Sus scrofa: one gene and its partners. The protein of the gene in region 2 purifies or fractionates together with the protein of the main gene of each other region. This does not show direct contact. Links are inferred from orthologs where the notes say so. Each region holds a gene or a part of one and is shown on either strand. Other genes may lie near its edges. The genes, in order: RAD23B, PSMD6 and PSME2.

Region 1 (11,143 bases), on a different chromosome or scaffold from region 2:
GTCCTACTTCCTTTACATCTCTAATGCCATCAACTACTCTCTCCCCACAGCTTCCTCAGTTCCTTCACCTGACTTCCTGGGTATTTCTCCAATATGCCAAAGATGGTTCTACCTCATGGTCTTGAATCTGCAGGTAATAAATGCTATGTAAGTACGAACATTCATGACTACTATGTTGTTCCCTCAACTTAATCTCCTTTAATTCTATTCAATATCTGTATGTCTGGCTTCCCCACTTCTCTCTACTCTGATACCACCTATCAGGAAGACGTCCTTGATTAACCCATGTACCAGTCAGAGTCTCAACAGAAAAACACACCATATTCTAATGATGTATTGTTACAGGTTGAATTGGGTTGCTCCAAAAGATATGCTGAGAACCTAACCCCCAGTACCTCAGAATGTGACCTTACTTAGAATCAGGTTCATTAAAGATGCAATTAGTCAAATTAAGCTATACAGGAGTAGAGTAAGTCCTTAGTCCAAAATGACTGATATGAAATCCTAAGATACACACATGTCTCTGCCCCTAGTTCTTTCTAGCTGTGACACAGGGCTCTCCAAAATTCTTCTAACCTCCTGAATGATAGCAGTATCTGATACAGAACACCCAAATATCTTGGAATTTCCTGAGTAATAGGAATGTCTTTTGTTGCAGTGAGGGGTGGCTCTTGGTGGGCTCCTGGATGGGAGCTGGTCACCTGAAAGGCTGAGCCATGATCGGAAGGTTATAACTCTCAGCCCAATCCCCTATTCTTCAGAGAAGAGGAAGAGGCTAGAAATTCAGTTGATAACTGATCATGCCTGTATGATGAAGCTTCCATAAAAATTCCCTAAGTATGGATTTGGGAGAGTTTCTGGGTTGGTGAACACATCCACTTGCTGGGAGGGTGGGGCACTCCAACTCCACAGCTCCTGCAACTGGACACTTAGACCACCATGTATCTTTCCATCTGGTTGTTCACCAGTATCTTTATCATATCCTTTACTACATAAACATGTTTCCTGGAGTTCTGTGAACTGTTCTAGCAAATGATCAAACCTAAGAAGGGGGTTGTGGAAACCCAGTTTATAGCCGGTGAGTCTGAAGTACAGGTGACAAGTTGGGACTTGCAATTGGCCTCTAAAGTGGGGGAAGTCTTGTGGGACTGAGCCCTTAACCTGTGGGATCAGATGCTAACTCCAGGTAGTGTCAGAACTGAATTGAACTATAGGACACTTAGCTGGTGTCTGCAAAGAAGTGGAGAATTACTTGGTGGCTAGAAGTAAAATATTGAGAGTAGTAATAGAGTGGTGAGCAGAGAAGAAACAACAGAGTTTATCTTATTCTACATGTTTCCTTTTAAGAAGAGACACAGAGGGACAGACATACAAGAGAACATCATGTGATGATGGAGACAGATTGAGGTGGCACGGCAGGCCAAGGAATGCCAATGATGTCAGCAAAGCACCAGAAGCTAGGAAGAAGCAAGGAAGAATTCCCTGTGATAGGTGTCAGAGAGAGCACTGCACTCCCAGCACCCTGATTTTGGACTTCTAGCCCCCAGAACTGTGAGACAATACATTTCAATTGTTTTCAGCCACTCAGTTTCTGGTACATTGTTTCGGCAGTTCCATGAAACTAATCCAGGGAGATGCAATAAATGGACTCTTCACAATGATGGAGGGAAGCATAAAGGGAAACTACAAACACAGTGCAGCACCCTGGAGTGAGAAGTAAAGGCCCTCCTCGAGGGAAGGGGCAAGGTGGGGAGTAGGTGCCAGAACCTGGAAGGAGAGGATTGCTTGGAAAGCCCAGACACAGAAGCAAAGACCCTGTATCAAGAGCACTGCCAAACACAAAGAGGAATACATTCCGTATCTTCACTCTCCTCCCTCACTCCTATCTCCTCCAGGACTCCCCAGGAAGCCAACTGCGTAGTCCACACAGGGAAGCCTTCATGAGACCAACTGCTGGGTGGTGAAGCGGTAAGAAAGAAGATAGGGAGGGGAATCAAAGATACCTAGCACATTCTCTGTAGCAACTCTATTTCTTCTGAGCGCTACTGATCTTCGTAGGCTTTAAAAAATAGCACTTATTAGCAACCCATATATAAAGAGCTTTGATTTTTAGTTTATTATTTGTATGTCTATTATCTCACTGGAATATACACTCTATGAGGGCAGGGACTATGTTCCCTACTGTATCCTCAGCACCCAGAACAGTCCCTGGAGTGGAGAGGGTCTCAAAAACTATTTGATGAATGCATGTCTTGAAGTCTGCCATTTTTACCCTGGTATTTTCTAAGTCAGCACTTGCTGCCCTTCTGCTTGCTCATCTTCTTCCCTGAAATCATTTGACTGATTTCCAAAAATGCAAGCAAAATTCTCTGGCTTGATAGCAAATATTTGGAATCAACAACTCCCTCCCATCTTTTAGTCTTGGCCCAAAAGCTCCTGAAGAAGCCCAAGGCTTATCCTACAGAGCCTTGCTCATAACCAACCTTACCCCAGTGGCCATTGTGTTGGGGGGTTGAGGGAGTCCTAACATCTGTCATGTGAACTGTGGGATTCTGGGCAAAGGCACTTACATTAGACAAGGAGGCATACAGCCCATAGAACATATACTATTGAACCAAGAAAATAAAAAATAGTAATTGTGGAGTTCCCACTGTGGCTCAACAGGTTAAGAACCAGACATAGTCTCCATGAGGATATGGGTTCAATCCCTGACTTCACTCAGTGGGTTAAGGATCTGGCGTTGCTATAACCTGTGGCCTAGGTTACAGATATGGCTGGGATCTGGTGTTGCTGTGGCTGTGGATGTGGACCTGCAGCTGCAGCTCTGATTCAACCCCTAGGCAGGGAACTTCCATATGCCATAGGTGTGGCCATAAAAAAAGAAAATATTTAATAATACTTTCAGTTAGATCCAAGAAAAAATCTAAACCAGGGCACCGTTGTAGCTATCTTGAAGAGTTCTCTGGGGCTTAAATGAGATTATCCATGGAAAGGGCCTACAATGGTGACTTACCTAGCACTAGAGTAAAGGGTTAATGTATATTTACTATATACTGTTAATGTTGTTGGAGCAACATGGATGGATCTAAAGCTTATCATACTAAGAAAAGTAAATGAGAGAAAGACAAATATCATACAATATTACTTATATGTGGAATCTAATTAAAAATGATACAAATGAACTTATTTACAAAACAAACTCACAGATCGCAAAAACAAATTTACGGTTACCAAATAGGAAACATGGGGGGAGGGATAAATTAGGAGTTTGGGATTAATATATACATACTACTATATATAAATGACCAACAAGGACCTACTGAATAGCACAGGGAACTTTACTTAATAATCCACATGGGAAAAGAATCTGACAAAGAATGGATATGTGCATATATATAATTGAATCATTTTGCTGTATGCTTGAAATTGACACAACATTATAAATCAACTATACTCCAATAATTTTTTTAAAAAGTTGTGGAAGAAGTCCTCTCTGAGGAAGGAAAACATGACTGGGGCCCTGAATAATGAAAAGGAGTTAGTGGTTTAAAGATTTGAGAAGGCAGTTTCAAGCTGAAGTAACCTCTACTGCAAAGGCCCAGAGACTAGAACCATCTTGGCCTGTTCAAGGGATGAAAGGAAGGTGGGATGACAGGGAATGAGAGAGAGAGAGAAGAGATGAGGCCAAAGGGTTTGGCAAGAGTCAGATCATGTGAGCTCCCCTAGGCCAGGTAAAGAATTCAAATTTTATTCTCAGAGTATAATTAGGTATTAGGAATAGATGCGACATGCTTTGATTTATATTTGAAAAAAGACCACTCTGACTGCTGGAGAGGTTCAAAGTGTAGAAGTGGGGAGGCCAGTTGGGAGGCAGGTGGAAGATAACAATGGATTAACCTAGGGTTGTGGAAGTAGAAATGGTGAGAAATGGTTGATCTGGGGATATAATTTGGAGAATAAAGTTGACAGGACTTGATAATGGATTAGATGTGGTGGTCAGGGGTGGTAGGAGGAAAGGAAGGAAGAAATTTATCAGGGATGATGACTAGATTTTTGGTCTGAGCACCTGGGTGGATGGTGGTGCCATGAATTAGGAAGGGGTAAAACTGGGAGAGATTTCAGGGGGGGAAGGGAGGTCCAGAAGGAATCAATGGTGCTGCTTGGCCGTGTCAAGTTTCGGAGGTTTATTATATTTCTTCTTTTTTTAATGGCCACACCTGCAGCATATGGAAGTTCCTGGGCCATGGGCTGAATCTGAGCAACTGTGCCCTATGCCACACCTGCAGCAACTGCCAGATCCTTTAACCCACTGCGCTGGGCTGGGGATAGAACCCATACCTCTTCAGCAATCCAAGCTGCTATAGCCACAGCTGCTGTGCCACAGCAAGAACTCCATTATATTTCAAGTAAAGATATTACGTAGGCAATTGGCTAATTCTATCTATAGCTAAAGGTCCAGGCTGGAAGTATTTCAAAACAAAGGACGTGATGAGATCACCTGGTGATTAACAGTAGATATACAGGAAGACGGAAAGCCAAGGTTTAGATATGGAATTATAACACAGGGAGATACGTGTTGTGAAGGGGGCAGTGGGACAGCTGAAGGAGAGGGAAGTTGATCAGGCAAAGTTCCATGGAAGAATTATACCTGAGCTCTTACAATCTACAGAAAACCAATCAATGACATTGTATCAGTGAAGATGCTGCTCCAGAGAGGTCCTTTGCAATTAGTCACACAGCTAGTGACTTAATTGTAACTTTACACTTGAACTACTTTAAGTCAAATATGCAAGATGGCACTTTATTAAGAGGCAGAACAGCCAGGCACTTAGGAGCCCAGGGTCTGGAGTCATTCGGCTTGGGTTCAAATTCTGGACCCGCCACTCACCAGGTGGGTGATTCCGGGTACTACACTTAAGTTTTCTTATCTGTAAATGGGCATACTACAAATAGCTATCTCTTTATGAACTGCTTACTATGTTCCTGCCACTAAGATTTTTACTGTATACATTGTTCAACACCTCTTCTCCAATAATCAATGAAACTGAGTGCTGTTATTACTCTCAGCTTACTGATGAGAAACAGAAAGCATATTTACCCATTCCACACATATTTACTGTGTGCCTACATTACATGCCAGGCATGTTTCTTCGTGCTGGGGGTACATCAGGCAATATAACAATACCCTTGCCCTTGTGCAGCTTGTCTGTGTTTACAGAAGAGAGAAAGATAATAAATCTAATAAATATTACATTTATGGTAATTAGAAGATAAATGCTATAGAAAAAAAACAAAACAAAACAAAACACACAGCAGGGTAATGTGGTTAGGGAAATTGCGGTTTACGTTGAGTATCCACAGCAGACCTCCCCGAGAAGGGAGAGACAGTGAGCCACCCAGGTACCTGGGGAAAGAAGACTTAGGGACGGAAACAGCGAGCGAAAAGGCAGGCCCTCAGCTGAGTGCATCTGCCATGAGAGTCAGGATATATGCGAGGAAGTGGCTGTGTATCCAGTCCTAAGAACTTTTACTTTGGGTGCGATGAGTACCCACTGGACAGTTCTGCCCAGGGAAGTGATATAATTTGACCTTGTATTTAGCCCCAAGGTCCATCAAGGCAGTCTGGTGCTGAAGTCAGCGCTCTCAGGATAATAGAATCAGTGGCCACACAGCAAGCGCCCAGTAAACGCCGGCTCACTACTGTGGCTGTTTCATTTAAACCCCGCCCTGACCTACCGCCCTCTAGTTGCCCAGCTCCAGGGCTCTGCATCCACTTAGTCCGGTCTCCACGTAGCGCTTCCTCGGCTACAGATTGCCCAACTCAAGCTACCGGGCGGAGTCTGGACGTAGGCGGAGCGGCGGAGGGCGGGAGAACGCCCCCGGCAGCCGACGCGACAGGGAAGCCCCGAGAGCCCCCGAGGCGCCCCACTGACTACGCCTGCGCACGCGCGATCCAGGACGCCGACATTCCAGAGCCGTAATCCGCCCCGCCCCAATTCCGGGGCGGAGTTCTCGGCTGCGCCTGCGCACAGGCTCGCCGCACCCTACGCCTGCGCGCTCCGACAGTGCGGCCCCATCCCCCAGGTTTTTCGGGTGGGGGAGGGGGCGCGTCTCGGCGAGTCACGATGATGGCGGCCACCAGTCTGTGGTGAGCTAGCGGGTTCTCTGCTGGTTTCGCATAGCCCCTTGAACCTCCTGTAGACCTTGAGGCTGGCGCCAGGCGTGTGAAGAAGCACTGCAGCCCGAGCTCGCGAGGAAAGCCGCAGTCGCGGAGGCAGCGGCGCGGCCCAGGACCAGGGCTGGGGGAGAGGCCGCTCTGCAGGGCGAATGTGACAAGCCCCCACCCCCACCGCCTTCCTCCCGAGTGCGCGAGGAGCGCGGGCGACCCCAGGGCCCCGCCAGGCCACAGACCCCGCCCAGCGGCCAGCACCCGGAGCAGGCCCGGCAGCGGAGCTGCGCGGCGGCACCATGCAGATCACCCTGAAGACCCTCCAGCAGCAGACCTTCAAGATCGACATCGACCCCGAGGAGACGGTGAGAGCAGCGGGGAGCGCGGGGCCCGGGACGCGGCAGCTGCGCGAGTGGCCAGCCAGGCCTAGGCGGAGGTCGGCGCTGCGAGGCCTTTCGTGGGGTCCCGGCCTATATCAGAGCGGGGCCCGGCGGCGCGCCCGAGCTGGGAGGGTCCCCGGTGTACTCGAGAGGGCGCGGTGAACGGGGGTTCGGGCCCCCGACGCTGGCTGAGGCCTGCGGGCCCGGGCGCGGGCAGGGCCCCGGGGCCCTGCGGCGTGTGGCCGACCGGACCTTGGGAGTTGGCTCTGGGCTTTGTGTCAGGAGTAAGGGGAAGCAGTGGCCGAAACTGAAGCCCTGGCGGCGTGGAGCACATGCCTGCAGGGCACCGGAGGCTTGGGCCTGGGCCCTCCCGGCAGAGGGGCTTGAGGGGGAGGGAAGCTTAGGGCTGCTTCAGCGGTCTAGCCGAGCTCCCTGGTGTGGATGCACAGGTGGGGGAGGGAGATTTAGGTGTCGCCACTATTTCTGCGTGGATCTGGTTAGGCGCTAAGGTCTAGGAGGTGCAGACCGGCGATAATTAACCTTAAAAAAAAAGTGTCAGGTTCCGTTTGCCGCAGAGCGAGAGGTGAGTGGTGAAAATGCATTCTTTGCCCCCTTCCCCGCAGAATTGGGGGCGCTTTTATTTGCATATATTTTGAGTCGTTTCGCTGCAGGTCTCCCGCCATCGAACCCACACCCACATGTAGATTGCACTTTGAGGCCTCTTTGGTGGTGAAGATAGTTGTATTAGAGCCCTTCAAATCCAGGTTCGAACTCAGCTCTAGATTAACCAGTCCCCTCTGTTAGAAGTCTTGAATTTGTAGGAGTTGGAACTCTGCACCCTCCCCCAACCCACAAATAGCATTTCAGGAGAGGAAAAAGGAAGATAAAAACTTTGATTCTCTTCTGTAAACTCTTGAACATCTCAAAAGTTCACGTGTTAAAAACTCTCCTGTCATCGTCTGTATTTGTGACTGCAGAAAGCCACTGTGTTGAAATCAGTACGACTTTATGCCAAGATCTAAAAATGCCGTTCAGTGTAAACTTAGTACTTATGTTCTGGAATTGTGATTATATACATCGCTATGATTGTCATAATGCTGTGTTTAAAGCAACAACTTTCTGCCTATCTATATTTTTAAGAATAGTTGATTGTGGTTTTGGTGGCGATTAGGGGTCTTGGTGTTAATTAAGAAAACCTGAGCTCCCATTTGTCGCTCTAATTTATTTGCTATATGCAAAGATGTGAAGATTAAATAGTATTTGATTGGTGGTCAGTGAGTGAAATTTTATTAATCAATGGATAACTTTAAGAGGATAGAGTGTTACGTTTTATCTATATCATTTGACCTTAAGTTTTTACATCTTTAAATATTTAAATAGTGTAGTTCTCAACCTTTTCAGAATTGTGGCTAATTTTAGTTCAAGATATTTAATTACATGTATAAGTATGCTGTGTGATAAATTCTTAAATGTGCAGAGAGATAGCAATTTTAGATGAGAAATGCATTGTCCTCAGAAGTAATTAGAAACTCCCTGTGGATTGCTGTGACTAACAAATCAAATCTTCCTGAATATTCCTTTACTATTTAGTGTGTACTTATACATTAAAGGATGAAAGTTAAAAAGCGGCTATAACTTGAAGAGGCTGGTATAGAAACTCTTGTGAGCTTGATAGGAGCAGTAGCGAAAAGTAGTGAAAGAGAGGCCCGAGAGATTTGAGGAATCCTGGGAATGATTAATTTGCTGAACTAGTAAGTGTCCAGTGAGCTTTGACTGGCAGAACTGGGGTACAGGGACATGCAGGCTGAGGTCTGGGTCTTCCTGGGAGCCATACTGACAATAGTCTTAGTTTGGTCAGTGGCTATAGAGTAGGAGATGGACAAATTGGAAAAAACAAGAGGATTTGTTTTTAAGGTGTTTGTTTGTATTTGCTTTAGTTTTTGAATGTTGAAAGTCTTCTTCTGCCTTTTTTTTTTAAAAACTAGAGAACTTTCCTAACATTTATTTGCTGTTTTGTAACATTTACTTGATCATTACCATGCTCTGCCTTTAGTGTTAACCATTACAAAACAGACTTTATTATTATGGTAATGGTAATGCCTTTCTTCTTAGAAAATAATGAGGGAAAAAAACCAATAGAAAGTTTGAGATGAGATTTTTAAATGCACAAACTGAAATGGGAGTTTATTATTGTATAAATGACATCAAAGTTATGCGTGGACGTTTTTTGATAAGAGAATTGTGAGGATACAGTAGTTTTAATTAATACAGACAGTACGTTTTGTGTATTATACAGTAATTTGCAAAGAATTACCTCATTCTGTGGTTTATTTGTATCATGGTGATTGTGCTATAAAATACCAGTTGAGTACTGGTTCTGTGCATGGGATTTGTTAGCCATCATTTATTAGCAAATTGTTCCTATTGTGGCTTATTGTTTTTTTGGGTTTTTTTTTTTTTTTTTTTGTCTTTTTTGCCATTCCTTGGGCCGCTCCCGCGGCATATGGAGGTTCCCAGGCTAGGGGTCTAATCGGAGCTATAGCCATTGGCCTACGCCAGACCCACAGCAACGCGGGATCCGAGCCACGTCTTCGACCTACACCACAGCTCACAGCAGTGCCGGATCCTTAACCCACTGAGCAAGGCCAGGGTTCGAACCTGCAACCTCATGTTTCCTAGTCAGATTCGTTAACCACTGCGCCACCACGGGAACTCCGGCTTATTGTATTTTAATATAGTTGGGCTGGAGATAGTGCCAAATTATAGAAGTGCCCTAGATTATTAAAACACTAAGTAATAAATGTATTGAAACATTGTATTACAGAGGTGAAATTTAAGGTTTCTTGGCATATTGATGAAACAAAATACTAGAAGTATCTGGGGAATCTGGTACAGTTTGTGCCAGACTTTTGTTTTTTCTATACTCGGCACACAGCAGGCACTTACTTTATTTTTATTTATTTTCAGCTTAATTTTTTTCTTTCTTTTCTTTTTAGGGTTGCACCTATGGCATATGGAAGTTTCCAGACTAGGGGTCGAATTGGAGATGCAGCTGCTGGCCTACGCCACAGCCACACCAGATCTAAGCCTCATCTGCAGTCTACACCACAGCTCACGGCAATGCCGGATTCTTAACCCACTGAACAAGGCCAGGGATTGAACCCGCATCCTCATTTTCAGGGTCATTACTGTTGAGCCGCAACGGGAACGCCTCTGAATTATTTTTAGTATAATATTACTTAGTTGTACACAGCTATGCAATCAGATGTAAGGTCCTTATGCTATAACTCTTATACCAAATATAAGAAATGGATATTTTTTAAAAAATTTATTTATATTGGAGTATAAGTTGATTTTATAAATTGAGTGTTAAGTGTTGTGTTAGTTTCAAATGTACAACAAAGTGATTCAGTTATACCTAAACATGTATTTCAGATTCTTTTCCCATATAGGTTATTACACAATGTTGAGTAGATTTCCATGTGCTGTACAGTAGGTCCTTATTGATTATTTTATATATAATAGTGTGTATATGTCAACTCCAAATTCCTAATTTATCCTTACACATGCATTTAATAAAGATTTCTTGGGAGTGCTTGTCATGGCTCAGCGGTAACAAATCTGACTAGGAACGATGAGATTTCAGATTCAGTCCCTGGCCTCGCTCAGTGGGTTAAGGTTCCGGCATTGCCTTGAGCTGTGGTGTAGGTTGCAGATGCAGCTCAGATCTGGCGTGGCTACAGCTCTGATTCAGCCCCTATCCTGGAAACCTCCATATGCCCCAGGGTGCCACCCTAAAAAAGCAAAAAATAAAATAAAATAAGTTAAAAAAAAAAAGATCTTTTGAATGAATTAAATACATTCTCTTGGTGAATTGTCAAGTCAGTAATCCCTCAGTATTTGCATGTTGATTCATTTGTTTAGTGTTAAATATTTCCTAAAAATGTCAAGTCTTGCTGTCTTGGTACATGCACTATAGTGGACTAAATCAGTTGAAAAACAAATTTTAAAAACGAAGTAATGGTAAGAGTTATGTAGGAATCGAAATAGGGTTGAGGTAATGTGATAGTGCATGACTGCGTGGCTACTTAATGACTGGTCACAGAAGGTCTTTCTAAATAAGGTGACATTTAAACTGAGATTTTGAATAATAATAAGCACTCAGAGAAAGGGAAAGTGTTTTCTATAGGGAAAGACCTTTAAGAGTGTATTTTGGGAATCAGAAAAGGCCTTTTGTTGATCTGGTAGGTGAGGGGGAGGAGAGGTAAGAGATTAGAGAGTTAGGCAAGGGGCCAGGGCCTGTAGAGTTTTGTAAATAAGCTGGGAGTTTTCAAGGTAAAATAGGAAGCCTTTGGGGCCTTTAAGTGGAGGAGAAAAATTGTTTCTTTTATGATTTGAAAAGGTTACTTTGACTCTTTTGGAAGTTTGATGACCAGTTAGGAGGCTTGTTGTGGTAGTCTTAAAAGAGTTGAAACTTGGAGGAGGGAACTAGGAGTGAGAATGCGAAGAGAGGTGAAAGGATTTGAGATATAGTTGAGAAGGTTGAGTTGAAAAAATCTTTTTTTATTATTATAGTTGATTTACAGCATTGTGC
Region 2 (9,226 bases):
GATCCTGGGCAGGGAGACTGTGGAAGAATTAAAGGTATGAATGACACTGTGGCTCAGTGGTGGCCTCGCCTGGGTATTCAGGGAAGAACAGGCACCCTGAAGCGGCGTTTTGCAGTTTCCCTCTTGCTACATCTTAACCATCCTCCGAGGTAACTTGCCTATATTCAGACCAGTTAAGTGACTGGTTCTGAGTTACAAAGCAAAGTCCATTTTCAATTTGTTATGACCAAGAATGAAGAAAGGAAGTGTATAAGGCAAATCAAGTTATGGTGGTGGCACAGCACTTTTAGGATCAGGTCAGAAACAGGATAATAGGGTCTGAGTGGCAGTCCAGGTGTCACTTTCAGAAACAGACGTGCTTGTGATTCCTGGGTCCTAGGTGAGAGCGTGGCTGGGGACAGAAGAGGCGTGGCAGAGAGCACTGGAGTTAAGGATACTAAGACTTAGTATCATACTTAGTGCTTACTGTACAGGCTGTGCATTTCAGCCTCGGGGGTGGAGGAAGCGGGGTCACTGCTCTTGTCTGGAATGAGCAGGTCACAGGAGCTTGGTGTTCTGAGGGCATTGAGCACAGTGGGTTGGTGGTATTGCTGGGTGGTGAGCAGCTTCAAAGAGAAAGTGTTCTGAATGAGGGTGGAAACATAATGGCCAGGAGAGAGAGCAAGGGAGTAGGCATCCATGGACTTCGTCTTGGCTACAAGTTCCTGATGAATGAAGAGCCTCTATGCCAGAGGACTTCGTGAAAAGTAGAGTGCCCAAAAACCAAGAGCACAGTTTTACCGAGACTGATACTACACTAATTCTTACAGAGACACTTTGGAAAAGCAGGTCTCTGCTAACTTCTAAAAGGGAAGATTGGTATAGCTGTCAGGACGCCACCTGCTGGTAGTCTAGACTAAGTGGTCACTTCCTGAGGCTATCTGAAGATTTGAAGGGTGATCATTCACGGAAAAACTGTGCCTTTTATTCCTTACATCCAATCTGCACGGGGAAAATTATGCCACTGCAAGAGGCTTCTGAATGATAAGAGGTAAACAGCCCCCTTGACCATGTACTTCAAGGTCTGGACCAAACTGGCACACATTTTTGACATTCTTTGTAGGTCTTCAGAAATAGAAGAACAATGCAAAATTGTGGCTCTATGGCTTTGAAACCAAAACCAGTGATTATTTAGAGCCTTTCACGTTTTCCAGACAGGAATCTAACTTCCCTTCCCCCTTAGCCTTGGTGGAGGTATGAGGTTTGTTATTAACAACTGCAAGTTTGTGTAGCATTAGGAAGATGAAAGATTATCACAGCCCCTCTCCCCTTTTCCCCCCATAATCAGGGGCACAGATAAAACTTCCTGTATCAGCTATTAATCCTCTTTAAAAACAAGTTTAAAAGAGCACCCAGGATTAATTTAGAATTAAATATGATTGACTTGCTAATGATCTGTAGCCTTGCCCTTGATCATTTACCATTAATGCTTGGTCAGGTTAACAAGTCTCAGTGTGTTCAAGCATGAAATCTTAAGTGTATTGCAGTGTATGTGCTTGGTGAACAAATGAGGTAGTAGGTAATCCTTTTAGCCATTAGGTTAGGTCAAAGTTAGTTGCAAATATTTAATAACAAAAAGGGTCTTAGACAATTTGTATTCCTTTTTTTTGGGGGGGTCTTTTTGCCTTTTCTAGGGCCGCACCCGTGGCATATGGAGGTTCCCAGGCTAGGGATCTAATCGGAACTGTAGCTGCCGGCCTACACCACAGCTCACAGCAACGCTGGATCCTTAACCCACTGAGCAAGGCCAGGGATCGAACCAAAACCTCATGGTTCCTAGTTGGATTTGTTAACCACTGAGCCACAACAGGAACTCCAGTATTTGTATTCTAAAAAATTGATCTAAAGCTATTCTCTTATAAAGGAAACATTACCAAAATTTGACATGCTTATAAATATTTATCTCACTGGATAAATGTGATACATAATTAAACCTTATTAAGAAATTGGCATTATTGCCTTAAAAAGTAGTCTCAAAATTGTTCATGCCAGTGACTTAATTTCATACTTGGATAGTGTATTATGGGTAAGACTAGGATTGATAAAAGTGATGAGTTTCCAATTTTGATAAAAACATTTACCAATATTGAAGAGACTTAAACACAAAGTGTTTTAACACTTGATCACTTAGCATATAAAACTTATTTGACAAACTTATTTTCATATCGTGATAACCTGAAAGGGTTATCATGATATGAAAACCAGACCAAAACCAGAAAATGAAGTCAAGACCTTAATGATCTGGATGAATTTCCCTGGGTGGTTAATGGAGGCTGTTGCCCATTACCCCAGATGTACATGTCAGGGTAGCACCAGAGAGTAAACCCAAATGCTGGTGGGGCGGATAGTGGAAGGTAACAGGGCAGGTCTGGTGAACAGGACCCTGCTGGAGGAGACCTGCTAGCCATTTGGCTGGACTGGAAATGTGAGCCCAGAATTAACCTGATCTGCCCATTTTTCCAGAGAAGCTAGACAGTTGGTGATTTTTGAATTGCCTTTTAATTTTTGAATGGCAATCAAATTTTTTCCTTAAAAAAATGTGGGTGGGCAATAGTTGCAGCCCGTAAGTGATCAGTTTGCAACTTGGTAGTATCAGGAAGCCTCCATGCTTTGGTTTCCTGAGTCTTATAATCTCAACTGCAAGAAATAAAGGCCTGGACCTAAAAAACTACCTGGTCAAAAAGCAGAGAACCAAACTTTGAAATTAGCATTCTAAGTAGTCTTACTATATACCAAACACAAGTGGAAAAACATAAACTCAATGAGATTAAATTAAAAAAAAAATTCTAAAAATTCTTGGTCTCTTGTATAAAATGTGGTTTTGATGGCCCAATATTAATTTTATGTAACAATAGTTTTCTACCAACATTCATACTACTGTACTAAGAAATACATGTTTTAGTATATACTGCTTTACAACTTGCAGTGTGTTCATATAAAGAAACCTCCTAATCAGCCTGATTTTCTCCTTGGGTTTACAGGTGAGGAAATGGGCTGAAAGAGGTCATTTCTCCCAGTATCAGGTGGCTAGTTTGAGGAGAGCTGGGATCAGAATTTGCTTTTCCTAGCTGCAGTATCCACTGCTGTTCCTCCTATACAGTATGGCCTCATTAAAAAAAGAGCATGAGCATGTTATTTTTCAGATAAAAGGAAAAACTCTCTCACCTCAGAATTGTATTGTTTATTTCATCATAAGGTAATGATGAATAAACAAGATAAGGCAGATCTTTATCTGCAGTCTTGGAGTTTTTGGTTTCCCTATCTTGCTCTGGGAATGAATAGTATCTCTTGTTTCTTTCGGCATCTCTTACCTGCCATCCTCATCTACTGATTGGGGTGGTGGTGGAGGTGGTGCTAAAATGGCAAAAAAGAAAATCAAGTACATTTTAAGCCAGGAAGGGGGAAAACTAAGGTGTCTGTGATTTCGCTCTCCTCCAGGCCAACAGTCCATGTAACTCTGGACTGAAAAGCCATGGCTCTGGTATGATCACCTCAGCCCAGATGGTTCTATAGGTGGGACTTGAGGAAAAGGGTTATTTCAAGAAACTGGCATTTCAATCCTGCTTTTCCCCTCTAGCATGAACTGCAATGAGAGAACTTGCCAAAAACAGAATCCTACTAATTTTTAATTGGGCAGAAGGAACACCGTAAGTTCTTAATGACCATATGTTGGATTTAACAGATAGCACTGATTTTCAGGGTTGTATGTTTTGTTAAAAAATACTTATATCCCCAGTGTCTTCAAGAAATTACAGTGATTATGGTTCATAAGGTTTGTTTATTTGTCTTTTTAGGGCTGTACCCCTAGCATATGGAAGTTCCCAGGCTAGGGGTCGGGATGGAGTTGTAGCCATCGGCCTAAACCACAGCCACAGCAACACGGGATCTGAGCCACGTCTGCAACCTACACCCATAGCTCATGGCAACGCCAGATCCTTAACCCACTAAGCGAGGCCAGGGATCAAATCCCATCCTCGTGGATACTAGCCAGGTTCATTACCACTGAGCCATGATGGGAACTCTCAATCAGGTTTTGAAATTACATTTTTACAAATCCATCCAGCATTTTAATAGCCTCTGACCCACCCCACAGCACCTGCAGAGGAGCAGTCAGTGGCTCCTCTTTGAGTACAAAATTGATGATCGCCAATATCTTGATATTTAAGGCAATGCTTCTCATACTTTGCCGTTACGGATGACATTTGTAAGAGGGCTTTGATTTCCTATCCTGTTATTACTTGTATTTACTTAAGTTTGAAACAAATGAATGCTGAATGTCTCCAATTTGACAAATTACAGATCCACTGAGATCATGTGTTTTCTCCTCTAATGTGTAACGAAACACTGCCATCAGCATGTGAACCTGCTCTCTAAAAAAGCATCAAAACCTCATGCTTCTCTCCCTTTCCTTTTACAGTAAAATGCCTCCTCCCATTTCTTTTTAATTCAGCTCGAGCCAGACTGCTCTTGCCAGGATGACCATTCAGCAAGCCTGGGATCCTCCTCCAGCAAATCCAGCTGCCTCTAGGGTTCATTCCACCGTTATCCAACGCCTATCCAGCTCAGGTCCATGATGACACTTAAAATCAGGCCATTCCTCTGCTGCCAACCTCCAGGGACTTTTCTCTTTCCTCCCCTAGATAATTTTCTGCATGATCTCACCCTCCTTTTTATTTAAATATCTCCTTACCAGAAAGGCCTTCTGTGACACTGATACAGAGCTCTTCACACCCTGTATCACTTTGTCACCTATATCCAGCTTTGTATTTCTTTTTTCATAGCAGCTGTCCCAATCTGACCACATTTATAATTGGGAAAAAGATTCCCTTTGCCAATATCTATATAGGTTTTTTTAAAAAGCTATATTTAGTAAGATTGGCTTTGGCAGATTCTAGAGTCTTAGGTTATGGTATCCTTCTAAAAAGGAGTAACTTCCAGTCTTTTATAGGTACTTATTTCTGAGGGAAAGCTTCTGATACATTTCATTTCTCACCTTTTAAGTACTAAGCACTGTTTTTAATTATGGGCTTCTACTCTGTAGCATTTTTCTCTTCTTTTTTTACCCAAGGCACATGGAAGTTTCTAGGCCAGGGATCTCAGCAGTGACAATGCTGGATCCTTAACCCACTGAGCCACCATGGACCTCCATCTTCTGTTTAAAGGTAAGAAACAATAGGCTTGTCTTAGCCTATTACACTGAAGAGGCAGGGTCAGGATTTAAGCTGTAGTACTGTAGTCTCTATAAGCATTGTATCATAAAGCAGAGATGTTCAAATGACAGAAAAGTGACATAATTTTAACATTACTAGGGTATATATATGCTTAAGAGAAAAGTAAACTGAAAGAAACAACAATGCAGTATTTATTTTATACAGCTGAACTGGGCACATAGTAAAGTAAGCTATAAAAATTCCAAATAATTACTCTAAAGGAAATTCTTTGTGAACGTGGTTTTACATGTTAATTACTCTGGAAAGTTTCTGAACTCTGTTTAATAGCAGATCTCCTTTCTTGATAGTTTCTTGGTACTGCCAGTTCTTGCTATCAGGTCTATAAATAAATTCAAGAAAAAAAAATGAATTATTTACCAGTCACATTACTTCATAACAATAGTTGACCTACTTATAAAAGAATGCCTTCTTTTAACAACGTCCTTTATTCTGAGGAGTATTACAAATGATACACAAGCAAGAATACCTGTTAGTTTCCACTATTTCATTCACTTTATCTATTTTGCAGTGTAGCCTCCCAGCAGCAATAAATCTGGAGAGTTCCCTAGTTGAGGGAGAAGGAAAAAAAAGCCTTTAGCATTAGTCTTATAGAGACTCTTGGAAAAATAAACTGCAGTAAACACATGACTCAGTTGTCTTTCAAGATAACATGTTGCTGCGTACTGCTTGAGAAAATGAGCTCTGGTATACTGCAGGACTATCTCATCTACAAGAGCAGGTAACTCAATGTTCAAAATCCTTCAGAGAATAGAGTGAAACAAGCTTTCAAATTAAGACAAGTAATATGCCCCAATAAATTAGGGTTAGGAATTCAAACCTGATGTATTCCTCTGAGGTAGATGTGAAAATACATTACTGAGTATCTATTCCAGCCACAACCCAAATCCTAAACAACACAGTTACACATCCACCTCAACCACAGCACTGGTGTGAAACTCTGTCTAGCACACTGTGGCATGGGGCAAAAAGTTAAAAACCTAGAAATGTATGAGAGCTATATGAAGACAATTTTCTAATGCTACCAAGGAGAATAAATGCAAAGTCGACTCCGTTAAAATAAAAATGTATTATGTTAAATTTAGAGAATAATATAAGGGAATCCTCCTAATCAAGAAAAATCAGATTGCAAATAAAAATTATGTGACAGATTACTCTCCTAAAACATCTTGATCCTAGCACATAAACACCAAAGAAAAAGGAACTCCAAATCTTAAGAAGCAAACTCCTAACAAAGATGCCATTTCAAGTCAACAGGGAAAGGTTGGCTCAGAATGGTATTTAGGGATCCTAATTATGACAGATCTCAGAAACCATGTTAAGAACAGAAAACAGTAAACCAAGATCATATCCAAAACTAAATGAAAATGTAGATAAAAGATATCTGCAGTATGTAGTTGCCACTGGTCAGTCAGTGTGTAAAGGTCCCACCGTGCCTTTAAATAAAATACTATTGCAAATAACTACTTTAATAAATTAAATATTATTGAAGATTTTAAGCTAGAGGTTATCTTAAACTAGTAAGAACAGTAAGTTACATGTTCATAGAGCATGCTTTATTTCTGTATCCTCATTAGAAATATATTTGCTGCAATTGCTACAATGTTCATTCCTTCTTTTAACTATTAGTTTTTGAGTTATGTTATTGACTGGCTTAAGTAAAAATTAAAAATTGTTTCTGTTTTCCAGGTACTTAAAATAGTTGTATCTCCAAACTACAGTTACTAAACCCATTTGCACCTGTTATTCTGGGACTAAAGTACACAGAGAAAATGACACAGTCAGATAGATATAATCAACCTTATCAGTCCTACCCCCTATCTAAGAACAGGGGAGAACCCTCCAAAGAATCTTATTTTATCATTTAGGAGCAAGATATAGAGATCAACACTGGACTTGACTCACCAGATTAGTTCAGCCCTTCACTTACTCCCTAGCCTATTAGAAGAGACTCTAAAGTTTTAAACTCCTTTAAGACACTGCTTTAGATGCACCATGGTGTCTTTCCAGGCTTAACCCTGGGGACCTCCCTGTACACACCACCACACAGGCCAGTACAACCAAGTAATGGTTTTTCAAACATCCCCCTAAAATATATCTGTGCCATTTCTTCCATCAGCAATGTCCTTTTTCCCCACCACAGCCTATAAAAATCCTAAGTATGCAGTGATAGTCCAAATTTTCTGATCCCTAGTTCTACTCATTCTGAACCATGTGCATGCACCAAGAAAAATCTGGATATGGTTTCGTATCTAGTTACCACAGCAAAGTTTAACTCCTAACACCCTAAACTGGCACCCAAGTCCCATTCCCTGCTTTAGACCCATCTTGCTGTGTGCTAATCAAACACATCCCAGGAGGACTCATCTTCACCAGCTACTGGTATTTCTCCAGGTCCCCAGTGTGGTCCCTTAGAAACAGGTGTCCAATTACAATGAACGGAGTACTTGCTGAATAAACAAAATCTAAAAATCAGATCTGCACCCTAAGTTTCAAAAAAAGGCCTACCAACAAATCACAAAATACAGTCCATGTCAACAGAAGTGGGAGTCTTTTCTCCAACAATATCTTCCTGAGTCGAAGTGGAAGAATGATAAACAACTCTTGTTCAAACTTATTAAATCAGCCCATTAAAAAAAAAAAAAAAAACTCACCTTAAATCATTTTATAAAGGAAGAAAAAGAATCCATGAAAACCCAGAAAGGAATCAGGAATACCAGAAATTTAAAAGCCCTTTTTAGGTAAAAAACAACTAATGCTCAGTGTGTACTCATAACCTCCACCCCTACAGCTGGTCTGAGAACATGCAAGAAAAAAAACTGTAACATTTCAAATACCACCTGAAATGTATCATAAACCATCATTTCCAGTGTCATCACAATGACATAAATGAATACTGCGGCCTCTCTAACAGATACCTCCTGCTTCAGTTCATTTTTATCCACAATTTCAGCAGAGCTTCAATCTGCCCCAAGTGGTCAAGGCTTCAGCACCACACAGCACAGCTAAGAAAGTGAGGAAGGGATGAACCTGACTAGGGCTGCAGAGTTGCAGTAAGAAGCCAGACCAGCCCCTATTTTTCTGGTGTTGTTCACCATGGTAAGCCACTCATTACACCCCTGCATGAAAAACCCATTTCTACAGTCCTCCACTCTATCCAGTGGTCACCAAACTTATTTTCACAGACTACTTCAATTCAGAAATCAAATAAGATGAAACCAACCTAAGAATACTAACCTTCTATTTCGGTATGGCTAATAAATAGAAACCACCATCACTACCTTTTTTCTTCCAAAGAAAGAGAATGAAGCAATTTCTTGCCCGATAGTTTGGGTATACCTAAGAACTGGGCATTTTGCTAAATGTAAATATTGCCTTAAAACCAACCCATAAATAAATATTGATAAGCATGCTCAGTGTGGCAGGATGAAATGTACTGGTGTCTGAAAGTTACTCTGAAGTAGTTATAAATAGGATGGATAAGTGATAAAGCAACTTTAACAAAATGTTAATTATAGAATCAAGGATATATGTATAATTCTTTACAATTTTTCTGCATGTTTGAAATTTTTCAGAATAAAATATTAGAGAAAAATGTCTAAAGGAGCATGGTGTTTCAAAATGAAATGCAATTTCATTAAAAACTCCTCTCTAGCCACCACTTTTTTCATTGTGGGCCACTGGATACAACATCCATTGTTTGGGAATGACTTGTCTAGATACCATCTGAACAGCTTCTCTTCTGAATGTACTTCTCCCCAACTCAACACCCACTATCATAGTCCAAGACGCCAGAACATCTCCAAGGGCTACTGAATAGCCCATCCGGTGTCCCTGTCCCCTTGGCCATGTAAGACACTATGAAATCATGGTACCCCCAGGCTTAAAATCCTCCAGTGGCTTCCCAGGGCACCTAGATTAAAACTCAGGCTCCACACCACGACCCGCCGGGTCCTACA
Region 3 (11,091 bases), on a different chromosome or scaffold from region 2:
CCTTCCCACAGGTATTTCTCTGAGCGGGGCGATGCTGTGGCCAAAGCAGCTAAGCAGCCTCACGTGGTAGGTGAGGCCTAGGTCAGGGTGCATGGGAGGAGGGACACCTTTGAAGTCAGGCCTGACCCGTGTCTCCCACAGGGTGATTATCGGCAGCTAGTGCACGAGCTGGATGAGGCAGAGTACCGGGATATCCGGCTGATGGTCATGGAGATCCGCAATGCTTACGTGAGCAGGGAAGGGCAGGGGTGGGCAGGGACCGCTTTCCCAGGCCACCCACTCCCTGATGCACGCCAGGGGGGTGAAGGGTAGCAGAGCTCACAAGGCTAGAAACGGGGAACATCCACTGGGGGCCTGTGGCTGACCGCCACTCCTCCCCGGCCCTGTAGGCTGTGTTATATGACATCATCCTGAAGAACTTTGAGAAACTCAAGAAGCCTAGGGGAGAAACAAAAGGCATGATCTATTGAGAGCCTCCCCTCCTTCTGTGATGGGTCCAGCAGACCTTCCTGACTTTTACTGGGGACTCCAGGCTTTCCCCACCTTCTGCCTGTTGAGGTTTCTCCCTCACCTTGCCTCCCAGGCACAATAAATATAGTCGTACCGTTGCCCAACAGCCCAAGTCTCTTTATTGAATCCTGGGCCTCCCCTCTGGCCCTGGCTCAGGTCTTTCCACTGGTGGAACCAACCCACTGGGTGATCTGGACGTTGAGCTGCTGGTTGGTCCAGTCCTCCCGGATGTCATCAAGATGGCAGTCAAAGTCCACAAGGTGCTGGTGGGCCCGGCCCTCTAGTAAGGCTCCCACCATCTGCCGTGACTCTTCCCAGTCCCTCCACATCACTCTGAAATAATAACCCCCATGGAGGTCAAACTCAGCAGGCATTGGGGCCAGACACTTGGCAGAGGTTGGGGTCTAGAGAAGGACCCTTGGGCAGAACCAATGACAGAGGAGGCCCAGGAGCTGTGGGCTTCTAAGAAGAGGTGGAGGGAGTGGGGCACTCACAAGTTCTTGTCCTTGGGGACCCAGCGGAGACCATGGTTCTCCAGGACGATAACTGGGGGCACATGAGGCTGGGGCACCAGTTTCTGATTATCCAACTGTGTGGACAAGGAAGGGCAGGTAAGGGTTTCAAGGATCCCTCTTCCTACTACTTTCTTTCCAACTCCCCACTCTGAAACCCAAGCCTCACCATAATGAGTACTGCGTCAGGAAAGAATTCTGCAATCCGCCCAGCGATTTTCAAGGCCAGGGGCCCAGGGCTGTGTAGAGGGAAGATCAGAGTCGTGAGGAGCCTACTGTGGATAGACCCCATCCGTCAGAGCTGGGCCTCCCAGGTCCCATAGATGTGGTTGCAGCAATGGCGTTTCCCTGTAGCTGGCCTGGGGGGTATCAGGCTTACTTGATGCTTCACGCTTAACTGCCCAAAGCTTGAGTGCTGTGGAAAATAGGTGCTCGGATACTGCTGGTGAGAGTGGAAATCTAAGATAGTCTTTTCTGGAGAGTAAGTTGGTATAACCAACCAAATTTATACTGTATACTATATATATGCTGACCCAGAAATTCTACTTATTAAAGAATTTACTGTAATAATAGGACAGTGTCTATAATAACGAAAAACTGGAAACAACCTCAATGTTTAATGTAAGGCATTAAATAAATTATGGTACATCGGAGTTCCCGTCGTGGCGCAGTGGTTAACGAATCCGACTAGGAGCCATGAGGCTGTGGGTTCGATTCCTGCCCTTGCTCAGTGGGTAAAAGGATCTGGCGTTGCCGTGAGCTGTGGTGTAGGTTGCAGATGCGGCTCGGATCTCGCGTTGCTGTTGTTCTGGTGTGTAGACTGGTGACTACAGCTCCAATTCGACCCCTAGCCTGGGAACCTCCATATGCCGAGGGAGCGGCTCAAGAAAAACACAAAAAGACAAAAAAAAAAAAAAAAAAAAGTTATGGTACATCCATACTGATGCTGTATAGCTGTTACGGTAAGGTAGATAATAGTGTAATGATGGAAAGGTGTCAGATATTTATTAAGGAGGAAAAAGCAAATTACAAAACAGTATCAGTTGATCCAGATACATGAGTACTATGTAAGTAGATAACTTTTTCTACATACAGCTGACTGGTGAACAACGAAGGGGTTAGGAGCAGAGACCCTCCTGCAGTTGAAAATCTGCAGGTAACTTTATAGTGGTCCCTCCATTACAGATTCTGCATGGGTATTCAACCAACTGTTTCACCTATTAAGGTCCGCAGGCAGCTCAAACCCATCTTGTTCAATGATCAACTGTATATATAAAAAAACTTTCTTTTTTAAAAAGTTGCTGCTTGGGTTTCCTTTGTGTTTTTTCAGCACTTGTGGGGGGGGTGCATCTCAGTTAAAGCAGGTGTCAGCCTGTTCTTACTGAAACGTAGTTGTCCTCCCCACCCCCAGGGAAACATGTTTCCTTACATTTCCTCACTGCAGTACCAGCCTAGTGCCTGATGTACAGTGCCTACTCCTAAGCTTTTGATGAAGGAAAAATGGAGAGAATGACTAAGAAGGGTTCTCTTGACTCCCCCACCCCATAACCCTTAGCCTTCTGCCTCTGGCACTCACCTCTGGTCGTCCAAAGCTGCATTGGCATGGTAGTACCCTGCCACTACCAGCCCGGCCTGCGCGCCCCACACATCCACCTGCCATGGGAAAGGGACCATCAGTAACTAAATCGTACCGCCCGCCCCGTGGGTGCGCACTATTGCCAAGAGGCCAGGGATGGGCTTAGGGCTGTTAGGGGCTGGTTAGGGTGGTAGGTGGGCGTCCAGCGGCGGCACCTGGTTGAGGGCGACCTCCAGCATGACAGACAAGGCCAGGTGGCTGTGGAACAGGGGGACACAGTCGGTGAGGCACAGGCATTCTCCCGACCGCGGCGCGGGCGCCAGCAATAGCCCGTTGACAGCGGCATGCGGGTAGCGGGCGGCGTGCAGACACATCTTCACGTAGGCCCGGGCGGAGATCTCCACCTCCCCCATGGCGAGCGGGGCCCCCAGCTCTCGTCCGCGAAGCCCCCTCCAACGCCCGAGGGCCCTCTTGGGCCCTTCCCCGTGCCTCCTCACTTAGGTTCGACAGTGGCGCTGACCCAGCTCAAAGACAGCCCACCGGCTCCCGCCGATCTCAGCCTGGCGACCGGCCCCCACCTGGCCCGGAAGGCGGGCGGCCTGGATTGCATGCTGCAGCACCGAGCTCCGCCTCCCCCCGCCCCCAAGTGGCGGCCACAGAGAAGAGCTTGCCTCGGGGACACGGAACCTGCGCCTCCAAGCCTGACCAGCTTCTGGAGTCCCGCCCACGTAATGATCTTTGATAGGTTTAGAGTGTCTCGTTTTGCCCAATCACCAACCGCATCCAATCTTGCCCCGCCTTTGTCTCCGGCGGCTGAAAAAGAACCCACAACGGTAGAGAGCTTCCCTCAAGCTGATTGGCTAGGCTACCCCACTTCGGCTCCGGATTGCAGGATGACTGCGTCTGTTATCTCTGCCGCCCGCCCCTACAGGCCCAGCTGGGTGGAGCCCGCGTCCCGCGTCGGGTGTCTTTGGAACCGTGGAACTTCGAACCAATGTGAGTACACAGGGGACGCCTGACTCCTACTATAGAATGAATGGGTTTGTGCTCTAGGGCGGCTCTGCCACTAACTAATGAGCCATGTTACTTTTGCAATCACAGGTTATCGGGCCGTTGGTTTCCTCAGTGTAATATCTACAGAAATAAAAACGGCTTTGACTGCAAGCGGGGGTAAAGGTCAAAAAGATTTTTATAGACCCATCCTTCCGATAATGTCCTGTGGTATAATTTCCTTAAGCCAAAATGTTTTGGGAGCGTTTTTTTCCCCTCCCAGCTCTTGAGAAGGAACCCAAGCATAATTTTCCCCGGGGAAGCCTCATTCTCTCTTCAGGCTTGCTCTGAGCTGATGGCAAGGGTGGTTTCTTTCTTCATTCCCTGATCTCAGCCGCAGAGCTTTCCCTCTATCTGTCCAAAGTCTGATTATTCCTATAAGGTTCTGCCCAAATGCCGCCTCTTTCAGGAAGAACTCATGAGACCTTCCACATGGAAAAAATCTTGTGAAATCCCCAAATACAGATTATCTTCATGGCTGTCAGGCCATGTAACTGTTATTTAGGATAACTTCTTAAGAACAGGATGGACCTCTTAACTCATCTCTGTCTTCCTGGCACCCCTCCCTTTCCCATCATCGCATTCACATTTAGTAGCTGGACAGAGGTGACACTTTGCTTTCTTTTTTTATTCGTCTTTTTGTTCTTTTAGGACCGCACCCACGGCACATGGAGGTTCCCAGGCTAGGGGTCCAATTGGCATTGTAGCCGTCGGCCTACACCAGAGCCACTGCAATGCGGGATCTGAGCCATGTCTGCAACCTACACCACAGCTCACAGGCAACCCCGGATCCTTAACCCACTGAGCGAGGCCAGCGATTGAACTCACAACCTCATGGTTCTTAGTTGGATTCGTTAACCACTGAGCCATGACGGGAACTCCCACTTTGCTTTCTGAATAAATGACACACACCAGAGGTGATCCACACAAAGTACAGGTCATTTATTTCCCTTACAACCCTGGGCTCAGTACATTGATGGCTTTTCTTCACCCTTTGGGTTGACAATTTTCTCCAGGTTGCTGCTGATAATATGGTAAAGCTCAGCCTGGAAGAAAGCCAGAGGGCAACAGTCAGGTTCCTGGCCTTTCCTTTGCCCCCTCATCCACCTCCCTTAGGGGCTTACTCCAGACTCACATAGAAGGCCCTCAGGTCCAGCACCATGGCCCTGAGCTCCCCATGGGCTGCCTCATCTCGTTCGTGCACCAGGGCCCGGTAATCCATCTGGGATGTGGGAGGCAAAGCTGAGTCAGCCCCATGGGAGGTTGGGACATTCATCTGGTTTCCTCATATAGGGAATAGGTAACTTGAGGAATGAGCCCCTTCTCAGCACCAGGAAATGGGATCCCACAAGATCCAGCAGAGAAAGGAGGTAAAGTTTTTGAAGCCCAAGTTTGGGGCAATGGTTTTGGCTTAATATTCTCCACATTGGGAAGGTCACAGACAAAACAAGGAGGACCATTGTGCCCTCTTCCTCATCCCACCCCCAGCCAGTCTCCAATAACAGGCTGGTGGACTATCCACTCACTACATGGGTCTCCTTGGAGGCCTTGGCCACAGCATCCCCACGTTCTGAGAAGTACCTGCCGAAAGCAAGGGGAGTAACCATAGGAGTGGGTGTTCAGAGAGAGATAGTCCCTCAGACCCTTCCCAAGGCCCCCCATTATCCCGATGGGCATGTCCCGCTTTGGGAGTCCCCACAGAATGTCCTTGCAGACCCCTGTGCTGGCCCTCCAGCTGCCCTCACTTGGAAATGGTGGTCTGGAAGGCTTCTACTTTGGTCTTGACTGCATTTACCCTCTCCAGCACCTTTTCCTGTGGTGACAAAAGAGATGGGAGGCAAAGAAAACACTTCATCTTGTCCCTTTTTCACTCACTGTCTACCTCCTCCTCGCAGTTCATATCTAGTCTCTATCCCTTACTCCCCAAGACTCTTCCTGCTCTCAGCATCCTCACAGACCCTTTCTCACCTGGACTGCCACCCCAAAGTCATTTCCATCCTCAATTTTGGGGATCAGGTGCTGGATCCATGTGATCACCTACAATAAGAGCTATCATGTAAGAATCATTCAACAAAATTCTGTTCTTAGTACGGTTACTTCCTAAAAATAGCTACATTTAACTGAGTACTTATTATTTGACAGGCACTGTGCTATGTATTATATATCTCATTTAATCTTCACGGCAACCTTTCAGGCTTGTACCCATTTAAACAGATGAAAATGCTGAGTCACAGAATGTCTAAGTGACTTACTTAAGGTAACCAATTAGGTAAGTGATAGAGTCAGGATTCGAATGAAGGCAGTCTCCCTCTAGGGTCCAAGCTCTTAAACCAACTCACTGTATCAGAGCACCTGCACTGTGTACCTGCTACAGCAGTAGGTTCTGAGGTTATGGAGGGGGATGCAACACAGTTTGATTTAGAGGGTACCACTGTAATATCAGAGGTCTAGCAGAACAAGGAGAGCAAAAGTTATCTAAACACAAGGCACAGAAGGAAGCTCCCTATTTTGAGAATAGGTTCCTAAAGGAAGGACTTGGAACTCTGAAGGAGATCAAGGCATGGCCTTGCTTGTCTTCTCTTTCTATGTCCCCCAGTTTCCCAAGCTTACCAGAATGCATTTTTCTTTGAGAGTCCAGACTTCTGGCTTAACCAGGCCAAGCAAGGCCAGGATCTTCTCGTTCCCAGGGAGAAAGCCACACTTAGGGACTGTGAGAAAGAGGAGATTTAGATCCCTTCACATCCAGCAATCAGTGTGCCATTTCTCTTTCCCTAACCTCCCCCCTTCCCCTCTTACCTTCTTTCTTCTCCTGCTTATCTGTTTCCATCTAAGGAGAAAAGGGGGGAAGAAACTTTAGAAAAGTCATGGAGGTTGGCAGACCATTATGTACAGTGGATTTATAGCCCAAGCCCTATGCCCTAAGTGCCTCACCTCATCATCCTTGGGTGGGGGGTCTGGGATGGGGATGTCCAGCGGGGCCCGGAGAGAAGTGAGGTCGGTCACGTTGAGGGAGTCCTCCTGCACAGAGCTCACTGTCAGGGACTGCCCAGCCTCTTCCCGTCCTCCTGAGTCACAGCCTTCCCCCACACACATCGTACCCACCCTCCTCCTCCCAACCTAGGCTGAGGCTTGGCACTATCCTAATGTTCCCAGTCCACTACTCGCAACTCTTCTCTGCAGTTGGAGCCCAGCTGTTAGCTAGAGAGAGTGGATGGAGAGGAGAGGGGCCATGGGTTGGGACAGAAGAGGTTCACTCTACTCACTTGCAAGAGCTGACTCAGGTATATGATTTTCTGAGGCAAAAATCTGTAGAGGAATTCCTCAGCCTGCGGGTTATGTTTCAAGGGTAAGAATCACAGAAGACACTCAGTGAGAAGTCTGAGGAGTGGGACTGGAAGGGCCCTTGGAAATCTTTGAATCCAATACTTACAAATGAGGAAACTGAATCCCTGAAAAGTGAAGGGAGCAAGCTGGGAAGTGGTAGAACCAAGGTTAGAACTGTGGTATTCCCGCTTTGGGGCTACAGCTTTTCCCTTCACACCGAAAGATGGGAGAGGAAGTGGCATAAGTGGGGAAGGTATTAAGAGGGGTCAAAGTAAAAGAAGAGATTAGTAACTAGGAGCTTATCTTGGGTGAAGGTTGATAAGGGAAGTAGGGCCTGGGTCGAGGGTGGGTTTAGGGGTCTGGGAAGTTGCAATGCTCAGGAATTGGTCTGAGATTCTGCGTCAAATCACTTGAATCCAGAAGACTTACCTCCTGGAAAAGATTTTGCCTGAAGACATCCACCTGCAGAGAGAGCAGTACCCGGATGTTGGTTAAGGGTCTCACTTGCCCACAGTAAGACCCCACCCCCAACAGGATGCCCTCCAACTTGGCTCAGGCCTTTCCCACTACAAGCCACATTTCCCTGGAAGCCCCTGCCCAAGGTAGAGACTGCTCAGAGGGCAGGAATCTGGGACTCTCGGGACAGAAGTGAAAGCACTTAGGGAGGTTGGGGGATTTCTCTGGCACGGCCTTGGTCCCCTGGAGCACCCAGTTTGGCTTCCATTCGGGAGGGCTTTTGGACCCTTCCTGGCCTCCCGGTTCCCCATACCTGTTTGCGGGCTTCCCCGCTCAGGCGCACCCCACAAGGCTTGGCCATGCTGCTCCAGTTGCTGCTAGATCTCCGGTCTCCCCGCTCGCAGCCTGGGCTTTCGCTTTCACTCCCCACGTCCAGGCCCGCCCCCCTCAACCCCGCCCCCTTCCTTCTTTTCCCCCTCCCCCTGGAAGGCAGCAAACTGTTGGGAGCCCCTCTGCCATTCTCGGCCTGTGCGACTAGGAGAGGCGGTGCTGACTTGGTCACAAGCCCAGGGGCTGTCCAGGGGAGGGGCTAGGACAAGTTGGACCGCGGAGACTGAACAGGGGCTGTCCCTTGGAGAAGGGGCGGGGCTTATGGGGGGGAAGAACATCAAGGGGATGTCCAGGTTTGGGGTGAGAGGGTGGAAGAGTGGGAAAGGGGGTGTTTAGTGGTGGGGCTCCCCTAGGAAGGCTCGACTGAGGGGAGGGGCCTGAGAGAGATCAGAGTCGGGTAGGAGAAGTAGTAGGCGGGAGAAGGGATAGCAGGATATGGAAGGGAACAGGCGGGTCTTCCTCCCGGAGGACGCCCTGTCTTCAAGACCGACTGGAAAAGGGACTTGTGTAGGGTTCAGGCTGGCAGAGTTGAGTTCCTGAGTGGGATTTCCCCTGTGGGGTTCGGGTAGAGAGAAGGGCTTTGAGGGAAATAAAATAACACCGAACCTGGGGCTATACACAGGGGTTGGCACCGGACTGGACCAAGGTAGGGAAGAGCGCTAGAACAAGGTTTAAAGCCTAGAAGCTCTGAGGGAGGAGCCAGTGACTATTTACCATTCTCATTGGCTGAGGCTTGTTGGCCACGCCCCGGTCTCCTGGGCCCCGCCCCTCCTTAAGTTTAAACCCCTCCCCTTCCCCTGAAACTGGGTCGCAATCCCGCCCTCTTCCCTAGTACTTCCTGTTCCCGCTAATCCTGGCGTGGGGCCCGAGGCCCAAGAGTGACCGTGGCCTGAGTGACTTAGGGTTCCCGTGCCGACCGTGTCGCTCCGCGAAGCCAGACCCCAGGTGCTCGGGGCGGCTCTCGGGCCGCGCCCAACCTGCTCTGGGTTCCGGCGGGCAGCGGACTGGGGCAGACTCCTGTCTTAGGATGCCTAGGGAGGAGGAGGAGCGAGCCTTCCTGGAGGCCCGCGAGGAGCTGGCGAACGCCCTGAGGAGGGATTCCGGGCAGGCGTTTTCGGTGGAGCAGCTTCGGCCACTACTGGTCACCTCTCTGCCGCCAGCAGCCCGCTACTTGCAGCTGAACGCTGCACGCCTGGTCCGCTGCAACGCTCATGGGGAGGTGAGGCCCAGCCCCGCCTAGGAGGGGGACAGGGGAGCAGAGGTCCGGTCGGGGCTCACAGCTCTCTGCTCTCTGACTGCTCTCAGCCCCGAAACTACCTCAGCACCCTCTCCACGGCCCTGAACATCCTGGAGAAATATGGCCGCAACCTTCTCAGTCCTCAGCGGCCCCGGTACTGGCGCGGGGTCAAGTTTAATAACCCTGTCTTTCGCAGTACGGTGGATGCTGTGCAGGTGAAGCCTCTGGGCCCCTTATGGGGGAAGGGGACTTAACCTGGGCTGGGGGTTGGCTAGAAAGGCCCTGAGGCTGTGCTGAATGGGGAGAGGTCCAGCCCTATTGGGAAGGGGGCCTGCTGGCCCTGACTAGTTTGAATGTGTGGCAGGGGGGCCGGGATGTTCTGCGATTATATGGCTACACAGAGGAGCAGCCAGATGGATTAAGCTTCCCTGAGGGGCAGGAGGAACCAGATGAGCACCAAGTTGCCACAGTCACACTGGAAGTACTGCTGCTCCGGACAGAGCTCAGTCTTCTGTTACAGGTGAGGTATCTTTAGTCCCGAGTACTTAAATTAAGCACCAGGGCTGGTGAGCCCAGCCTAACAACAAAGATAGTCTGGGGACCCCCATGCTGCTGAACCATGGGCATAGTCCCCATAGTGACTTGGGAACTCCTTGTACTTTTCACCTTGTAAATGTTGGGGGGTCAAGGCTTTGAGGGAGGGCCTTGCTCTGGGGCTGTAGGTGGAAACTCTTCTTATCTCGTCTGCAGAATACTCATCCAAAACCTCAAGCACTGGAGCAGCTGCTGAAAGACAAGGTTGAAGATGATGTAAGGAAGGCAGGAATGGGGCCCTGGGTGAACAAAGGGGACCTCCTGTGGGCCTGTATCCCCAAGCCCTTGCTCATTCCCTGCCATTTTTCCTCAGATATTGCAGCTCTCAGAGTTTGCCCCCTTACTGAGACAGATTGCTCCTGGCCCCCTCACCACACCCTCTGCCCCAGGTATTACTGTCCTCAACTGGGGGGAGGGAGTGCTAGTAGATCATACTGATGGAAGTTTCCTCTATTTTCTTGGTTCTCTATCTTCTTCCTTTCTTTTTAGAAAGAGATTATAGTTTCCTTGGGTTGAAAAGATATGCTGAAAAGTAGTCTGTGATTTGTCCCCCCGTAGAGTCAGGTGTAACCTGGTCTTTTTCAGAAGGGTGTTCCATTCCCTTTTTTTTCTTTTTTTTTCTTTCTTTCTTTTTTTTTTTTTTTAAATGGCTGCACCTGCAACCTATGGACATCCCCAGGCCAGGGATTGAATCTGAGCTACAGCTGTGAGCCATGGCACAGATGCAGCCACACCAGATCTAACCTGCTGCCCCAGGCCAGGGATTGAACTTGCACCTCCACAGCAACCTGAGCCACTGCAGTCATGTTCTTAACCCACTGTGCCACAGCGAGAACTCCGAGTTGTTTTCTTTCTTTCTTGACCTCCAGGCTCCACACCTGGTCCCTGCTTCCTCTGCGGTTCTGCTCCAGGCACACTGCACTGCTCATCCTGTAAACAGGCCTTGTGCCCAACTTGCGATTGTCTCTTCCATGGACACCCAGACCGAGCACATCACCTCCGCCAGACCTTGCCAGGGGTCCCCCAGGCTACCCACCTGACCCCCAGGTGAGAGGCTTTCTCTTCTGTGTGGGAGCAAAATTGAGGAAACTTAAAATTACTTGACTATTGGAGTTCCCATCATGGCTCAGCAGAAATGAATCTGGCTAGTATCTATGAGGACACAGGTTCGATCTCTGGCCTCGCTCAGTGGGTTAAGGATCCCGAGTTGCCATCAGCTGTGGTGTAGGTCGCAAACACAACTCGGATCTGGCATTGCTGTGGCGTAGGCTGGCAGCTGCAGCTCTGATTAAACCCCTAGCCTAGGAACCTCCATTTGCCATGGGTGCAGCCCTAAAAGAAAAAAAATTATTTGACTGTGTGCTGGATCCTATGCTAAAGACTGTTTCATAGAGGGCAAACAGCCAGTTACTGCCCTCCAGAAGATCGTAGACATACATAAC

The links.
Region 1: the proteins of PSMD6 (region 2) and RAD23B purify together in Homo sapiens (affinity purification with mass spectrometry; 3 studies listed by BioGRID and IntAct, with this or other methods). This does not show direct contact. The link is inferred for Sus scrofa from reciprocal best matches to the Homo sapiens genes PSMD6 and RAD23B.
Region 3: the proteins of PSMD6 (region 2) and PSME2 purify together in Homo sapiens (affinity purification with western blotting; 3 studies listed by BioGRID and IntAct, with this or other methods). This does not show direct contact. The link is inferred for Sus scrofa from reciprocal best matches to the Homo sapiens genes PSMD6 and PSME2.

The regions. Positions count from the first base shown.
Region 1 is NC_010443.5:248,442,148-248,453,290, forward strand, and holds the start of RAD23B (UV excision repair protein RAD23 homolog B), read left to right. Parts: upstream 1-5,843; 5' UTR 5,844-6,468; coding exon 6,469-6,534; intron 6,535-11,143. UniProt on the Homo sapiens protein: Multiubiquitin chain receptor involved in modulation of proteasomal degradation. Binds to polyubiquitin chains.
Region 2 is NC_010455.5:45,500,956-45,510,181, forward strand, and holds the end of PSMD6 (26S proteasome non-ATPase regulatory subunit 6), read right to left. Parts: intron 8,971-9,226; exon of another isoform or gene 5,815-8,970; coding exon 5,737-5,814; exon of another isoform or gene 5,590-5,736; coding exon 5,493-5,589; 3' UTR 5,379-5,492; downstream 1-5,378.
Region 3 is NC_010449.5:75,151,347-75,162,437, reverse strand, and holds PSME2 (proteasome activator complex subunit 2), read right to left. Parts: upstream 7,869-11,091; 5' UTR 7,790-7,868; coding exon 7,742-7,789; intron 7,435-7,741; coding exon 7,402-7,434; intron 6,975-7,401; coding exon of another isoform or gene 6,912-6,974; intron 6,667-6,911; coding exon 6,580-6,666; intron 6,476-6,579; coding exon 6,445-6,475; intron 6,357-6,444; coding exon 6,259-6,356; intron 5,686-6,258; coding exon 5,617-5,685; intron 5,462-5,616; coding exon 5,394-5,461; intron 5,230-5,393; coding exon 5,175-5,229; intron 4,871-5,174; coding exon 4,784-4,870; intron 4,695-4,783; coding exon 4,614-4,694; 3' UTR 4,567-4,613; downstream 1-4,566. Other genes in the region: EMC9 (ER membrane protein complex subunit 9), read right to left, coding at 663-843, 1,005-1,099, 1,192-1,261, 2,599-2,675, 2,814-3,011. UniProt on the Homo sapiens protein: Implicated in immunoproteasome assembly and required for efficient antigen processing. The PA28 activator complex enhances the generation of class I binding peptides by altering the cleavage pattern of the proteasome.